Linked DNA regions of Medicago truncatula. The main gene of each other region encodes a partner of the protein of the gene in region 2 in a complex. Links are inferred from orthologs where the notes say so. Each region holds a gene or a part of one and is shown on either strand. Other genes may lie near its edges. The genes, in order: transcription initiation factor TFIID subunit 10 and transcription initiation factor TFIID subunit 15b.

The links.
Region 1: transcription initiation factor TFIID subunit 15b (region 2) and transcription initiation factor TFIID subunit 10 share a complex: the UniProt entries of both Arabidopsis thaliana proteins name them as parts of the TFIID complex. The link is inferred for Medicago truncatula from reciprocal best matches to the Arabidopsis thaliana genes TAF15b and TAFII15.

Annotation. Positions count from the first base shown.
Region 1 is NC_053048.1:37,499,303-37,503,230, forward strand, and holds the start of transcription initiation factor TFIID subunit 10, read right to left. Parts: upstream 2,508-3,928; 5' UTR 2,348-2,507; intron 1,721-2,347; 5' UTR 1,687-1,720; coding exon 1,585-1,686; intron 1,492-1,584; coding exon 1,427-1,491; intron 734-1,426; coding exon 671-733; intron 177-670; coding exon 119-176; intron 35-118; coding exon 1-34. UniProt on the Arabidopsis thaliana protein: TAFs are components of the transcription factor IID (TFIID) complex that is essential for mediating regulation of RNA polymerase transcription.
Region 2 is NC_053044.1:29,930,596-29,934,523, reverse strand, and holds the start of transcription initiation factor TFIID subunit 15b, read right to left. Parts: upstream 2,956-3,928; 5' UTR 2,889-2,955; coding exon 2,588-2,888; intron 2,493-2,587; coding exon 2,390-2,492; intron 1,870-2,389; coding exon 1,182-1,869; intron 792-1,181; coding exon of another isoform or gene 669-791; exon of another isoform or gene 609-668; intron 525-608; coding exon 374-524; intron 286-373; coding exon 204-285; intron 1-203. UniProt on the Arabidopsis thaliana protein: TAFs are components of the transcription factor IID (TFIID) complex that is essential for mediating regulation of RNA polymerase transcription.

The DNA.
Region 1 (3,928 bases), on a different chromosome or scaffold from region 2:
ATAGATCTTCCATCGTCAAGACAAGGCGCCTATCCTGTCATAATGAAGTGTCAGTACTAGACACACACAGTGAACGCGTATGGACAAAACCAGATTAAAATCAGTCAAGACTCAAAACCTTCTGTTGTCTGTCCCTTTTGTCTTTTGGAATTGTTGCTTGCCTTGCTTTGCAGTGCCTACAGTTAACGTCAAGTGAAATCACTATATGACTGAGATCAAGGAGATAGTAATGCATTTGCAAAAGAAGGGGACATAAGCACAAAAATTAAGTTGTTGTGTGTGTACATTTATTTATGGACCTATACAAAAGAAGGGGATAGAAGCATAAACATTAAGTTGCCAAGTTCCAAATGAATTTGATTAAATTTGGGTGTCTAATCCTACAAAGTGCCTTCGACACACATTCATTAAGGAAAGGAAAAATTCCATCCGACACTGGTCGACTTCATCCACATGCATTGACAACGTTTTTGCCAAAAGTCAATCATTGAAATCTATTTCTAGTTTACCAAAAGACTTTTGGGAAACTAGAAATAGATTTCAATGGTACACTATTCCCCAAATTTACTGTGCACATATATATAATTGGCTGCAAAGCAGTCATTCAAGTTAAATAAAACAAAAAAAGAAGGTTAAGATTCAATAAATAGAAAGGGAAAAATGAATATACTGGAGGGCATCGCCTGCGACCTCTGCAACAAATTTCTGAGTGGCAACAGCTACCAATCTAGTCCTGAAACATCGGTATAAGAACAAAAGATGAAATGGCCAAGAATCAAACTTAAGTAAATCAATAAAAGAAGTCAACCAAAATGGAAGAAATGTTGAATCCTAAAAGGACCTACCATATTCACAAGCACCCATGTACAAATTTACTAGAGGTAAAAAACAATAGAAAAACAGCAATAATTACAAACTCAAATAAATCCCAAGGTTAAAAAAAGAAGAAAACAAAGGCTAGAAAGTCCGAGCAACAGCAATTGCATACATTATCGTTCTTTAACTTAAATTAAACTAGTTTAACTGACAACCTTGGTTTCACACTGCAACCTGATCAAATAGATTCCATGTACATATAGGATTCCCAGTAAATGGTAAGAAAGATGCACATAGATAAAGACACGAATCAAGGTCTTATGTATAAAAATATAACAGAACAAAAACAAACTGCTATGCTAATCTCTTGTATCTATATTCTATAATTTTGTTTCAAATGACATATAACATATATCCAATATTTTCATACAGCTTAAAGAACTCTAAAATGATGGTAGAGGCTCAGACTCAGAATGGTCCAACTCCAAGGCATAAAAGAACTAGCTTTCTCACATGAAATTCAATATTTTCTCAAACTATGGAAGCATAAAAGAACATTAAGTTACTAGATTGGTAAAAATGGTGAATGAAAAAGAAAAGAGGTACCCACAATCTCACATCAGGACATTGAAAGCCACTCTTGGCCAAGTAATGCTCCACCAACTCATCAGGTATCTAAAACAGTATATAAAAAAAAGTAATTAATATGGATGGATGCAAGTAAAATTAAATTTAAAAATAAAATAAAATAGTGAAAAGTGAACTGACAGTAGGAGTATAATCAACTAAGGAAGCTAGGAAATCGGAGAGTGCAGAATCATCATCTGCCCTTCCTTCGCTTGAACTTGATTGTGGCTGATTCTGATTCATCTTCTGGTCAATCGCTATCCACTTACTCACTGCTCTTGTTCCCATCAACATTCAAAATTCAATTTTTTTGAAAAAATCAAAATCAACAATAACATTAACATTAACATTTCCAATCTCAATAATAATAGAGCAACTCATAACACAAACTCAACACTCCTGATCGAAGGCGTGTTTGGTGTCTGACATATGTTTGTGTCCGACACAGACACAACAACGACACATGTCCATGTCCGACACAACAATGACACATGGATTACATTCAGTTATGTCATTTTCTTAAATTATTACAACTGTCGATGTGTTAGTGTCAGTGTTGTGTCTGTCTGTGTTGGTGCTTCACATGTGAAAGGCAGGGGTTGGAGCATTAACTAATTAACTAACATAAAACGATGCACACATTAACTAACTAACATTTGTTACATAGAATACACAAACTGAATGATTAAAGAAAAAACACCAAATTGAATAATTTGAAAGAAAAACAAATTAAACACACAATAAGTAATAAAAATTACAATAGAATTAACAAAATGAACTTTCATAGATGTTCATATCGTTAGCAGTAGCAACAAAATTTAATAGCAAGAAAAATTGAGGAAATTTTTCTGTTCTCCATGGTTTACCATAAAAGTAGCACGAAAAAATAAACTCTAAGGCTTACCCAGAAAAGTGAAAACAGGCGGAGACACGATTGAAGGCGGAGAAAGAGGCGGAGACGGTGGCGAATACTAAACCGGATCGGGTTCTCGTGTGTTCCTGAAATGTGATTTTGTTTTTATATAATGGGTTTTCCGTCGGGCATCTCAAATGAATCGGATCAACGTGGTTACATTATACTATCTCCGTCCTTAATTATAAGGTCATTTTAAAAAAATAACGGGAACTAAGATAGTAGATATTTGTATTAAATACGTTTGTAATTACTATTGTTTTTACAATTTTATCCTTTAAGAAAAAAAAGAGGGTTGGTTTATGTTTTCAACATTCTATTTATTGCTGATTGAAGAAAAAGATGTATAATAAATAGGGGTATGTAAAGAAATAATTAATGTAGTTGGAAATAGAAAATGGGTCTTATAAAAAGGAAAAAAAAATCTCAAAAAAGTCTTATTAGGGACGGAGGTAGTACATTTTTTCGACAAAAATAAACTTTTTTAACATTCCCCTAAAAAAATTACTTTTTTAACATAAAAAAATATAGTAAAAAAAAAAAAACAAATACTCCATGCGTCTCAAATTGTACGTCGCTTTAAGGAAAAAAAATTTAGAGTAAATTACACTCCGCTCTCCTCAAAGATGCTTGAATTACACTCTCATCCTCTCTTATGTTAAAATTTACATTCCCCTCCATTGAAAAGTAAATTTGATAATCCCCTTAAGTTAGTTGTTTATAAATATAAGGTCAAATATCATCCTTGGTCCTTAAGTAAGTTGTTTATAGCTAATTAGTCCTTCAACTTTTTTGTCTTGAATAAATTGGTTTTTAAGTCATAAAAAAATTACAATGTTACCATTTTTCATTCAAATGCTTTAAAAAGTCTTTACGTTAATATTGAGATGATAAGTCCAAAAAGTGTTCATTACACCAAACATGATTACTTACATACATTTTCTCCTTAATGTTTTTAGGGATGGGTGATATTTTGAATGTTTTTTATATGACTAAATACTACCATCATACTATTTTATGAGGTAATTTGAAAAACTAGGACCATAGTTTATTTCAATTGTGATGTTTTTATTGTCTTTTCATAGTTAAAGTGCAGGTAATGGGTGTGGGTATGGGCACTTAGGTACCCATAGCGTATGGAGAAGGACGATAAAGTTGTTGCTCACCAAGGTGCGGATACAGGTACTTTTTACAAATGCGGGTATGAGAAAGGGCACTGTAGTACCCTACTCATAGGGTACCCATTGCTATTCCTAAATGTTTTCGAATTCAAATCTAATTTTACAATAAATGTTTCGTAAACAACATTACATATCAAGTAATGAGACACATGCCCGAACTTGGGGCTGCGCAAGCAGCTCAACCAAGCCAGACCTCCAAAAGTTACGGGCCTAAAAAAAAAATTAAGTCTAATACACACACCACACTTAAATAAAAAAAAGTTACTTCTTTTTCTTTTTTCGGTACACGTTTGAGTTTTTTTCTAGATTCCAATTCTCCTTTCTGGACATAAATCGGATGCTATCAAACCATCTTCAATTTTTATAATCACTTAATCAGTCAATTTGAAAA
Region 2 (3,928 bases):
ATGATTAGAAGATGGATGAGCTCAACGCTCCACTTACTACATTTATGCTTAAAAAAATGAAAAATAAAATAAAAGATATGGATAGAGATTGAATGAGTGAACACTTTTGAGTTATTATGACAATAACCCATGTTTTCGATCCAAATCTACAACGTTAGCATATCATTCATCTCCAACAGATAGATCCAGTGTGTAATGCATACCCATGGTTATTTGCTGGAGGAGCCCTTGGTGCAGATTTCTCTGCCATTGCAACACCGATTTTGTAACCCCTCAAATCATAATCTGAAAATGCAGAATCGTGATTAGTTCAACTTTGTATGAGAAATAATATCAATGTATATAGCAAGAAAAAAGCAGTTACAAGAAGTACCGTTGTAAAAACCACCAGCAGAGTGAGCTGCAGAGGGATCTTCGTAAGCAAGGCATGCATCACCCTTGTTTTTTCCATTTTCATCAGTGTAAATTTTAATGTTGTAAGGCCATTGATCTTTATAACCCCTCTTCTGCTTTATTCTTCCAACCTAGGCAGTTAAAACACATGTAACAGAACGTCTAGAATGGTGAGGCAGCTGATACTTCCCAAAGAGAACGAAAAAATAAACCTGCTACCCATTTTTGCTTTTATTCTTCTAACTTAGGCAGTTAAAACACATGTAACAAAATGTCTAGAATGTTGAGGCCTTTTTTTTGGTGTGTGTGGGGGGGAGATAGAATGTTGAGGCCTCTAATTCTTCGCAAAGAGAATCAAAAAATAAACCTATTACCCCTTTCTGCTTTATTCTTCCAACCTAGGCAGTTAAAACATGTGTAAAAAACGTCTAGAATGTTCAGGCCTATTTATTTTTTGGTGATAGAATGTTGAGGCCTCTAATACTTCTCAAAGAGAATTAAAAAAAATAAACCTATTTCCCCTTTTCTACTTTATTCTTCCAACATAGGAAGTTAAAACAAATGTAACAAAATGTCTAGTATGTTGAAGCCTCGTATGAAAATATAAACCTATTAGCACAAGTACAACAGGATTATATTTCTTACACAAAGCACAATTCAATATGTATTATGTATCAGACTGAGAACTTGAATTTACTCTGAAATTGGCACTTTCATATAAAATATCCATTCGTGATAAAAATATTGCGACAAATAAAAAGTGCAAAGTCAACAGATCAGAACATTACTTGTCCAATGCCTCCAAAAAGTTGCTGCAATTCATCAACAGTCACATCGGGTGGTAAATTTGAGATATAGATTCTAGAGTTGTCACATGTATCTCCACAATTCTCATCGCACTGCTTCACCGGAGCCGCTGGAGCTGGCTCAGCAGGAGCTCCACCAAATCCACCACGATTACCACTGTCATATCCAGCTTGAGGCACAGCCCTGCCACCACTCCGTGCATCACCTCCACCATAACCACCCGTGTTACCCCCATATGAAGGAGGATATGAATTAGGTCCACCGGTATAACTTGTAGGTGGAGGAACGGCATCTGTTCCATAATTTGCATTCCCACCATAGGTAGGTGGATAGTTTCCACCAGCACCACCATAAGACTGAGCAGCAGCAACAGGAGGTGCTTGACCATAGCCACCATCTTCTCTGCCTTGATTCCCGCCATACGAGCCACCCCTATTGCTCCCTCCACTTCTTCCATCATTGTTATTACCCCTTCCACCATTATAATCACTAGTTCTACCTCCATAGTTCTCAGACCTACCTCCTCGGTTACTGTCATATCCTCCACCACTTCCTCCTCTATTATACCCACCGCCGCCGCCGCCGCCACCGCGGTCATTACCACTGGTAGGACATGGGGTACCACATTTGTTACATTCACTCCTTCTAGCGAAGTTATTGTTCCCACAACTATATAAATAACAATATTGAATCAGATAAGAAACGTAAGAATCAAATCAACAGCAATAAAGTTAAGTGAAAAAATAAATCATTAATTTAGTCCCTAAACTATCACTCTCTCCGATTTAGCACCTAAACTATGTAAACATAATAAGTATTTCCTAAACTTTGTGAACTTCGTCAATTTATTCCCTAAAGTACATAAAATCCATCAAGTTAGTCTCTAAACTATGTAAATATAATAAGTTTTCCCTAAGCTATATGAAACCCATCAATTTAATCCTTAAACTATGTAAATATAATAAGTTGTCCCTAAACTATATAAAATTCGTTAATATAGTCTCTAAATGTACATTAAAATCCGTCCTTTTTGCCCCTAATATCTTAAGTGCAGGAACTAAACTGATGGGCTTTACATAATTTAGGACTACTAATTATATTTACATAGTTTGGAGACTAAATTGATTGTTCATTTTAATAAAAAATACTAGTGAAAATCATAAATTTTTGGCAGAAAAAAATCAAATACCTTTCGTTAGGGCAACGCCAATCTCCATCTCTGCCACTTCCACCACGGCCACCACCTCCACCTCGGCCACCGCGATCTCCACCTTGAAAACCGCCACCGCCACCTGTTTAAGTTCACATCAATCCACAGAAATTAAAGACACGATAAGATTGAAAATTAACTAAAAAAGAAAACAAATTACAGATCAAAATAACAAACCTCGACCTCCATATCCTCCACCACCACCACCACCTCCTCTACCGCCACCACCTCTTCCACCATATCCTCCGCCATCGTTTCCACCATATCCACTCCTTCCACCGTAACCTCCACCATCGTTACCTCCATATCCTCTACCACCACCGTTTCCGCTTCCTTTCGCTGCGTAACCACCACCGCTTTCATTCCCAGCATATCCACCAGCATAGCCACCACCTCCTCCGCCTCCGTAACCACCACTAGCACCATAGGAAGGTGGCGCAGAGCCACCTCCGGCATCGTGACCGTACCCTCCAGACATGATTCGATCTAGGGTTCGCTACTACCACAAGAGAGAAACTGAGATTTTTTTGTGTAGTGAAGCTTCTGAAATATTATTGTAGAATGTAACTGTGAAATATTGGGCCTTTCCGTTTTAACAAAGGAAGAAACTTTTTGCACCCTTGTTATTTCTATTACACCCTCCTAAATTATTATTCTACACTTTGTATTTTTGTTTCTTGACTTACACTTTGTATTTAGGCTAAACGGCACTTTTCACCCCCTAAGTTTCTAAATGTTGCGATTTTGACCCCCTATTAAAAAAATGGCAAAAATGACCCCATCTTTAGGGAAATATGCTCTTTTGACCCCTAACATAAGAGAAATATGTTTTTTGACCCCTTATCTTTACAAAAAGTTGCGATTATGGCCCCTTTTTTGGGGCACGTGGCACCTTCTCGGCAATTTTTGGACGAAAGGGGCCAAAGTCGCATTTTTTTTAATAGGGGGTCAAAATCGCAACATTTTAAAACTTAGGGGCGAAAAGTGCAGTTTAGCCTTGTATTTATTATGATAATAGAAATACCACAATCGTTAACTAGGTTAATTTTGTAAATATTTTTTATTTTATTATTTATAACTTCATACAAGAAAATGGGTTCGTTATTGTGAGAAGGTTGGAGTAACTTTTTCCTAGGTTTGCCAATGGCACGAGATTTTTCATGTTGTGCACTTGTGGCATCAGCTAGCTAGGATCAAAATATATATTTTTGGATGAAGCATTGTTGGAACAATATTAATAAAATAATTTAAATTTTATTTTTCATCCAAATAAGAGATTGTTGATATAAGTCACTATTTATGTCACTTTTTTTAAGACGTTTTATGACATGATTCAAAAATCAATTTTTCTTTAAAATCTACTTACCGAAGTCATCAATTTATACATTAAACAAAAAATTTGAAAAACTCATCCTACAACAAAAATAGGCCTCACGGCCAACAATACAAAAAGAGGGAAGTAAAACTTGTCTCCAGATACAATTTTATGTTCATTAATATAAGATCACGGTGATTCAA